2 linked regions of the Rattus norvegicus genome follow. The protein of the gene in region 1 interacts with the protein of each later gene in a pairwise test. Links are inferred from orthologs where the notes say so. Each region holds a gene or a part of one and is shown in the gene's direction. Other genes may lie near its edges.

Region 1 (4,329 bases):
ATGTTTGTTTTCTTAATTTAAAGAACAAGGACTTAAATAGGAAAATGTCTTTTTATATACTGGAGGTGGGTTTTGGACCAACCCGAGGGTATGCGCACAGACACAGATTTTAATTATTCCCCTTCAGTATAAATTTCAGGACGTGGAGGCAAGAAAATGACAGGAATCTGTGGGTGTGGTTCAGGTTAGTGCTAAGGAGAAATCAGTGAGGATTTTGCTCTGTACCAGGAACCCAGGATTTCTGTTCTGACTTCAACAATCATCTTCAGGCTATTAAAGCCGTCTTTAAAATGGGACTGAAATGCCTACGTCCTTGATCCAGGCTGTTCTTACTAACGATGGATTCTGAAGGCACTCGGAATTTTCCTCTTCACAAACCTGAAGACTGTCCTCATCATAAGCTAACGGGACTTGAACGATCATTTCTGAACTCAGTTTCAAGGAACTCGAGGCCCGGGAGAACCTAGGTTTTTCTCCCTGCAAAACTAGCTAGCTAGAGTCCTCTTCTTTCCCTTCTGCATTTCTTTGTCCTTCTAGAACTTGCCTTCAAGCCTGAAGGAGAAACCTGTCCTTTTCTTTGCTTTATATAGGGCAAAATAATAGTAAGTAACAACTGTAAGGTTCTTGATTATTGGCAAGGAACTTCCTCCGGTCCAAGTATTGCTGATACTTTGCAGAGAGGGCCAGCCTAACCGCTGGAGTTCGCTCTTTGAAAGATGCTGAGGGAGGGAATTCTGCCGCCAGCAGATGGAGAGGAGACCCGGACAACGTGGTCCCTCCCAGCCACCCTCCCTGCGGGATTAGCTGCCCCCAGCTCTGCTCAGGCGCACCTAGCGCGTGAGGTCCCTGGTCATACAGCTTGCGTCCCCTCTCTGGAGCGCAGTCGCAGCTACGAGCTTGCTGCCAGCAGAGCCGCACTGTCTCAGGCTTCGTAGAGCACCACGACCGTGGTCTTGGGACCTCGAACCCGAGACGAGCGCTCGCTAGCCAGCCACTAGCAACGCTTGCATTTCTTTCCTGCTGGAACCGCCAGGTGGTTACTTTCAGCCTGAAACCAAAGGGAAAGGGCAGAAGGGGAACTCTGAAAAGGACGGTTTAGTGGCAGCGGGCTTCTTGCCCCAGGAGTGGTGCTCAGGGAAGACTCTCGGTCTCTGCCACGGGTCCCTTTAAGAAGCCAAGTCGGGGCTGCCGCCGTCGCCGCTGCTGCTGCTGCCGCCGCTGCTGTTTGGATTCCTAATCCCCAGGAGCCCCGTTTTTTTTTTTTTAAAGGAAGAAAAAAAGGGGGAGGGGGCGGGCAGCTGTCTCTTTAAATGTGATTTCCTTCTATTGTATTTGAATCGTGATCAGGAAAAAGGAAATGAAACCAGAGACAGAGGGAAGCTGAGCGAAAATAGACCTTCGCGAGAGAGGAGGGAGCCCCGGGAGAGCCGCGCGGTCCGCTCCCCGCCCCCAGGCCGCCGCCCCCTCTCTGCCCTCGGCGCCCCGACCCCAGCGAAGGTGCGAGGGGTTCGGGGCGGCCGGGCGGAGCCGGCGACTGCGCGCGATCGGGACCGGGCGGCGGCGGCGGCGGCTGTGGTGACGGCAGCGGGACCGGGATGGAAGGTTAAGTCTTGAGCAGCGGCAGCTGTCGCAGCCGCCGGAGGGAGGCCGGGCTGCTCCCCGGCCCCCTGCCTCGGCCGCCGCGCGCGGGGCAGCTGGGTGATTCGCTCTCTCTCTTTGGCGTTTGAAGGGAGCGCGGTGACTGTCCTTGAGCGTGGAGGGGCGAGCTCGCCGGCCGAGCGACCGAGCAAGAGGAGGCGCAGGAGCGGCGGCGCCCGAGCACCCGAGGGGGTCCGAGTCCAGGCAGCTAGCCAGCCACGCGCCACAAAGGGAGCGCCCCCGCCGCCCGGCACGCCTCCCCCCTCCCCAATGTCCTCGGCCATCGAAAGGAAGAGCCTGGACCCGTCTGAGTAAGTGTGGCGCTTCTCTCCCCGCACCCCACACCGGGTCCCAGGCAAGGCGCGAGGGGCTGACTTCAGGTGCGCGCCCGCAGCATGCCCTTGGTCCCTCGGTGTCGCAGGGGTTCTCTTTCCTCGCGGGTGACTCTGGAGACACCGAGAGGGGCTGGGCGGAACTGGAGGAAGCTGTAAACTGGGATCAACCCCGCGGACCGCTCCGGGCTATCTAGAAAGCTCCCCAAACCTTCACAAGGGCCAGAAAGTTTGCCCAGGAGCAGGCACCCGGAGCTCCGAGGCACAGGTGCAGGGCAGGGAAAGTGGAGGACGAGATTCTGCCTTCTCCCCTTTCGTCCCACCCTCTCCAGATTCCCTTCCTTTTTGTCTATTTGGCTTTGGAAAGAGGGGCATCCCAACCAGAACGTCCCTGGTGTCTCTGACAGTCTACTGCCAGGCCCGGAGTAGAGCAGATAGTCGATGAGGTCCGCCTGTCCATCTGGGGACTGGTTCTGGCCTCCAGAGACTTCTAGAATTGCTAATCCGGAGTTCCTCCGGGTGCATGTTCACCCCTCCCATGAGTCTCCTATTGTGGGCATGTGAACCTCGAAAGTTGGTTCTTTTTTTTTTTTTTTTTTGTTCCAGTGTGTTTTCCTAGGGAACAGAATCTCATCAAACTTTCAGAAGGGCTTGGGGTCAGCGAACCAAGAGTTGTATGAGTATGTACTGTCTTATGCTCTGAGCTTTGCGCTGGTTTGCAAAGAACACCCCCATTCCACAGCCTGTACCCTAGCCCATTCTCTAGATTTAACAAGGGGAGCCAAGAATGAAGGTGTTGGGGGTTTTTTTTGTTTTGTTTTTTGTTGGGTTTTTTTTTTTCATGTCCACACAAATGCCCTTTTAAGAATCATTAGCTGTCTGGTTTTGAGTTTTTATTCCTTTGAAGTCCTCATCTAATCCTTTGAAGGGATTTGTTAACACAAGACCAAAGGAGCTGGTTAATGACTTGTCCATTTGGGCTTTTAAGACGCATTTGTTTTGGTGGGGTTTTTTCCTCCTTTTCTTTTCCTGCTTTAAAAGAATTGTGCTTTCCTGCTGAAGTTTTCCTACTCGCCTCCCCCCCTTCAATTTCAGTCTTGTGTGGTGTTTATTTACCTGGGCTTTACCCTCAGTCAGCAGCATAAAAACCCAGCGTGTTCTCATAAAATACAGGAAGTCCCACGATCCAACGAGAATATAAACATCACTCTTCAGTCTTGAAGGTTAAGACACACAGCTCAGAAAGGAGCTAGGTTTGTTGACATAAAGACCAGCTTCCTTAAAATCTCAGGAAAAACAACAACCCTTTAAAAAAAAGAGTCGGTGTCTGTAGCTTGTTCCCTTTTAAAAATACATTTAAAATTACATCTGAGCCCCGAGTTTTCAGAGATTGGACGAGACATAAGATTACACAGTAAGGGAGTGGGTCTGGCGAACTGGTGTTTACTGCTTTCCTATCAGCACAATTTCACTATGAATCCTATATTAGACATTGAGTCTACAGAGTTTGGTACCTTAAAAAAAAATACTAACTGCATGGATGTGTGTGTGCACCTGAGCGCAGGTGCTCTGGAGGCTAGAGGTGATGAGTCTCCTAGAACAGGAGTCACAGATACTAGCACTCACCTGTTTTGCTTGTGGAGACTCCTGGGTCCTTTGGGAGAACAGAAAACATCCTTAACTGCCAAGCCTTCTCTCCAGCCTGAGGATTGGGTTCTGTAAAGGAAGTTCACTCTGACTAAAGTTTGTGTCTTTTTTGCCCCAGACTAGAAACCTGAAAGGTATCTCACAGCTGTAATAGTGAGCACCCAGTTCATGAGGTCCTCTAGTAGTTCATCCGTCCTACAGAATGTGCCCAGAAAAGGAAGGCTGTAACTGAAGATGGGCAAGCCCTGTGGGAAATGTCTGTGGAACATTTCCCCTCTGTCTGGGAAATTTTTGAGAAATTTTACCAGAAATCAAAGCTAAAGGGACACTCAGGTGTCCTATTTAGGACAGGCTGGTAGAAGGATATCAAATATTAACTTAAGGTAAATCTCATTCAGTCTTTGGCTTGAATTGTTCACCAGAGAGAATGGCATGTCATTAATTATAGAAAGGTAAACTGAGTCAGAGTCTGGTCCTGTCCATATCTGTCCTCAGACCGGCATGTCTCGTTCTCCTGTATCTCACTCTCTTGCCAGCGGCCTCACCGAGTGCTTGCTCGAAGCCAGCTTGGATCTTCACCATCGCATCTCCAGATGCAGGTCAGCCCTTGCCTAGGCTTGTGCAAAGGTATCATGTGCACAGGAAGCCAGAACTCATGCACAGAGATTTCCTTCACCATGCAGTTGGTGATCCCTTCGGATCATCTTAATTC
Region 2 (4,609 bases), on another chromosome or scaffold:
CCCATTCACTACTTTAAAATTAACTGAGAATGGATCAAAAGGCAAAGCAAATTACAAAATGTCACATTTTTTACTTGAGTGGGTTTATTATGTTTTTCAGTATTAACTTGCTATAAAATCTCTTAAAGAAACAAAACAAAGTATGCTTTGAGTTAGCTCTTCGGAATCACAATAGACAAAAAGGTTGCAGAGAACAGCCAAGCCGGATCCTGTCTACAGCCAAACAGGAGATGGGGGAAGGCTGTACTAAAACCTCACAGTGAAGAGTGAAAAGTTACAGGGGTTGTGGGAAGGTGAGCTCTGGCTGGAATGGGAAGTCTTGCTATTCTGTGAGCTGCTTGTTTACTGCTCTCTCATTCACTAACAAGCAGAGGCCGAGGACACTTTGCAGAGGCCCAGGACACTTTGCAGAGGCCCTTCTGAATGAGACAATAGGGCAAGGCTTGAGGATCCTTTAAGTGTTCTGCAAACTTGACCTTTGCTTCTAACAAGACTTTTTCCAAAACAGAGCTCTTTTGTGCGATTTCCGAGACTTGACATGTGACCTAGCAAAGGCCGCAGGCAATGTGACCAGCCCACAATTGATGCATTTATTCAAAGTGTGCTTACTGAGTTTTCTATGTACCAGCCAGCATCCTGAAACTAGGGACAGGGAGGACCCAACTTTTTACAAGACTTTCAAACAAAGCACAGCTAAGTAATGCGATCACTTCTCAGAGTGTCCACAAGCATCTTGAGGCCACCTGGAGGAAAGGGCGTTCATTGGTCAGTGAGGCTGAGGCTGTACAATAAGTCCAAGTCACGCATGGTCAGAAGGCAAAGGCAGGCAACAGACCAGAGATGGCCTACAGAACAACGTAACAATTATTTAATGTCAAGGTAGTTGAGGTAGCTGAAATCCACTTTAAATAGGGAAATGAGGCAATCTAAGTGATTATGACTGCAGCTCTTTTTTTGGCATCAAACAACCAGCATGAGTATATTCTGCAATTCTCTGTGACAAAGGTCTCAACTATCTTGTTTCTTTGATAATCTGTCATAATCTTTGAAACACAGTAGTGGAAGACAATGGTTTGGGGCATGTTTAGAGGCAAACCTTGTTTCAGGGCCAAAGGCTCAATAAGTAAAGATGTGCGGGTAAAGAAAAACGATTTACACGTATTGTACAGCGACGGTGCCTGACACGATCATGGCACGTTTTCAGAACGTTTCAGAACTCTGGAGTAAGCTAGTTACTCCAGAGGGCTCCGGCGAGGAGCACCGGGCACTTGTGAAACTGCCGCCCACGTTCCTCCTGCTCCCCTTTCCTTTCTCTAAAGTGGAACAGAGAGCAACAGTCACTCAGTGAGAGGCGCAAGGCCAAGCGCAGCCTCAATGCGGCCATTGTCATCAAGCGGCACCTCCCCCGCTCACCGCGCGTCCCCATGGCAACTCCGGGCTTCGGCTTCCCCATTCCCTCCCGCCCCCCCCCCCGTCCTGCGGACCGGAAGCCGTGCGCGCCGGGGGCTTGTGGGAAGCGGCTGAAAGCGGCGGCGCAGCGTCTGCCCGGGACGACGAGGCTGTGGCGGGTCCCGAGCCAGAGGTCAGCAGCGCGCGGGGGTAGGGTTCGAGGAGGCGGGGGCTCAGGTAAGGGTCCAGAGGCCGGCGACGCTCAGCATTCCGGGCGTGCGCATAAAAGGCCGCGGCGGCGGAAGGGCGGCGGCGACCTGCGGCACTTCGGGGGTCCGCAGAGCCTCCAGCGCCCGCATCCTCTCCGGCCTGCTTTCCCCTCCCCCACGGGCCGGTTTTGTTCTATTTCGAGGCTCTAGCGGCTCGCGGAGGATTCTGGGAGACGCTCAAGCCGAGGGGGGATCCGGCCGTTCTCGCGCGCGACCTGCTGGGATTTGTAGTCCCGCCGGTCCCGGGCGGAAGTGCCTGTCCTGTGTGGCGGGGTGGTTCTGGGGCTTCTGCAGCCCTTCCTGGTGAATGCTGGGAAGAGGACGTCCGAGTTGCTGGGGCAGGCTGGGCTCAGCGCTGTGAGGCGGGCGGTCGCTGAAGACCAGGATCCCGCCGAGTGCCGGACGGCGTTCCTCCACATCCCACGAGCTTGGTGCAGTACAAAGTAAAAGAAAAAGCAGTTTCTATCACATAGAAATGCTTGATTGCTGATAGAATCGGGTCCAGGAATAAGAACTTAGATTTTGATATCAGGCCATCCCACTCCTGAGTGTCTATATGACCTGTCAGTTTGAGACAGCCTTTTCTGATCTTTTGTCTTCATCTTGATCGGTTTCAATATGGTTTTCTTAAGTTTCTGTCTCTTAAGTTCTTGGCTCTAATAAACAGTAGCCGTAAACTTATTATTCTTTATGTGCTGTAAACCGTGGCACGGCTATGATTTTGCAAATTCCAAAAGCATCAGAAAGTAGCTCAGATTTCCCCAAAGGAAAAGTTAGGGGAAGCTTCATCAGGGAAAAGACTCCCGTACACTGAGAAGTTGTGAGTGCTTTTTCCTAATAGAATTTGCTGTGGTTGAAGCTTGTCACTGTAAGTTTAAATGTATGTATGGTGTGGTGGAAGCCTGAGTAACATTTGTATGTTATGTGAAATAGTTCCTTCCCCAGTGTTATATGATCTGTTACTGAACTGTGTAAAAGAAAGTCTGTGACAAGATCTAATAGCCCAGGTTGGCTTTGCCACATGGATGACCATAATCTTGCTTCTGCATGTAAAGCCTACAATGTTGGGCTTTTGGGCGCATACCTATCTACTAGTGAACATTTTTCGCATATATTTTAAGTTTAGGGAGTTCCTAAACAAACATTAGAGTATTTGTGACAATTCTGGGGATTAGCTCAGCAGTAGAGCATGATGGGTAAGGATAGTCTCTCATTCTGGGGGATTCTAACTGGGAGAACGGTTGATCTATTTCCTACTCCAGGTTTGCAAAAAATGAAAAGTAGGGTGCCTCATCAGGTCGGGGGCTTGTTCCCAAGATCCCAGATTGCACATAGCAGGAGGGAACTAATGTCCCCTGACCTCCACACCTGTGCTGATGTGTTCCAACACGAAATAAATGTCAAAAAACATGTTTTATGTGTCCTACTGTTCTGAATACTTAGTTTGTTATTTTATGTATATTTGCACTGTGTGTTTGCCTGGTGCCTGAGGAGGTGAGAAGAGAGAGGAGTTTGTGGTTCAGGGAAACAAACCAGGGTCCACTGCAGGGGAATGCATTCTTAACTGCTGAACCAACTCTCCAGTCCCAAGCTTCAGGACGTTTGGAGAACACTGAGGTAGACTGCATCTTACCCAGATACTGTAGGCTATTAAATTACCCTTTGTAGACTATATGTCACAAATTAGCAATCTTTTTTTTTTCCTAAAAAGAGCAAGCTGGTAAATATTACATTGTTTTAGATCTTAGCTGAAATCATTGAATACTGTCAACTCTACCACATTATAGCCCAAACCACGATTAAATTTAATGACTTATATACACAAAATGTAAACATATTAATGGGGCTGGAGAGATGGCTCAGTGGTTAAGAGCACTGGCTGCTCTTCCAGAGGACCCAAGTTCAATTCCCAGCACCCACATGGCAGCTCACAACTGTCTCTAACTCCAGTTCTAAGGGGTCTGACATCCTCACACAGACATACATGCAAGCAAAAACAGTGTACATAAACCATTTTTAAAGACATTTTTACATCTTGTGTGTGTGTTTGTCTGTCTGTCTCTGTGTGTGTGTCTGTCTGTCCCACTTGTGAAGACCAGACTTGCAGAAATAATTTTTCTCTTATGTACATGTTGGTCATTGGACTCAAGTCATCAGGCCTTTGCCAGATGAGTAACCTTGCTGGTCCTAGACAGACACATCATATTTTCTCAGCATGAAGTATTTCTGTACTTTTTTAGTCATTAAAACGTTTACACTACTTCTCTACGGATGGTGTAGCAGGCAGCAGGGTAAATAGGCTGTGGTTTACCAGCTATGGCAGACTTTCAGTCAGTGTAAGTTATTGATTTCAAGTTTTAATCAAGTAAAGCAATGTATCTCTTTTTTTTTCCTTCTGCTTTTCGAATATCATGGGGTACTTGGTGATTTATGTGTTTTTTATTTCTTGTACCTTAGGAGTACTTTTGAGGAAAACAGGGTATTTCTGAGGTCTGTACCTTGCCTCAGTTGCCTTTTCTTGGAGGTATTGTAACAGGATGTCTGCCCAGTCAGTGGAAGAAGATTCAATACTTATCATCCCAAATCCAGATGAAGAAGAAAAAATTCTGAGAGTGAAACTAGAGGAGGATCCTGACGGTGAAGAAGGATCGAGCATTTCCTGGAACCATCTCCCTGACCCGGAGATTTTCCGGCAGCGGTTCAGGCAGTTTGGATACCAGGATTCACCAGGACCGCGAGAGGCGGTGAGCCAGCTCCGAGAACTGTGCCGCCTGTGGCTCAGACCGGAGACGCACACGAAGGAGCAGATACTGGAGCTGGTGGTTTTGGAGCAGTTTGTCGCCATCCTCCCCAGGGAGCTACAGACTTTGGTTCGAGAGCATCACCCAGAGAACGGAGAGGAGGCAGTGACTGTTCTAGAGGACTTGGAGAGTGAACTTGATGACCCTGGA

What was found.
Region 2: the proteins of Lmo2 (region 1) and Zfp24 interact in binary tests that used the Homo sapiens proteins (3 or more experiments, as listed by UniProt). The two-hybrid records come from large-scale screens. The link is inferred for Rattus norvegicus from reciprocal best matches to the Homo sapiens genes LMO2 and ZNF24.

The regions. Positions count from the first base shown.
Region 1 is NC_086021.1:110,820,079-110,824,407, forward strand, and holds the start of Lmo2 (rhombotin-2), read left to right. Parts: upstream 1-1,374; 5' UTR 1,375-1,595; coding exon 1,596-1,602; intron 1,603-1,729; coding exon 1,730-1,949; intron 1,950-4,329. UniProt on the Homo sapiens protein: Acts with TAL1/SCL to regulate red blood cell development. Also acts with LDB1 to maintain erythroid precursors in an immature state.
Region 2 is NC_086036.1:15,578,907-15,583,515, reverse strand, and holds the start of Zfp24 (zinc finger protein 24), read left to right. Parts: upstream 1-1,554; 5' UTR 1,555-1,626; intron 1,627-1,680; exon of another isoform or gene 1,681-2,101; intron 2,102-4,115; 5' UTR 4,116-4,195; coding exon 4,196-4,609. UniProt on the Homo sapiens protein: Transcription factor required for myelination of differentiated oligodendrocytes. Required for the conversion of oligodendrocytes from the premyelinating to the myelinating state.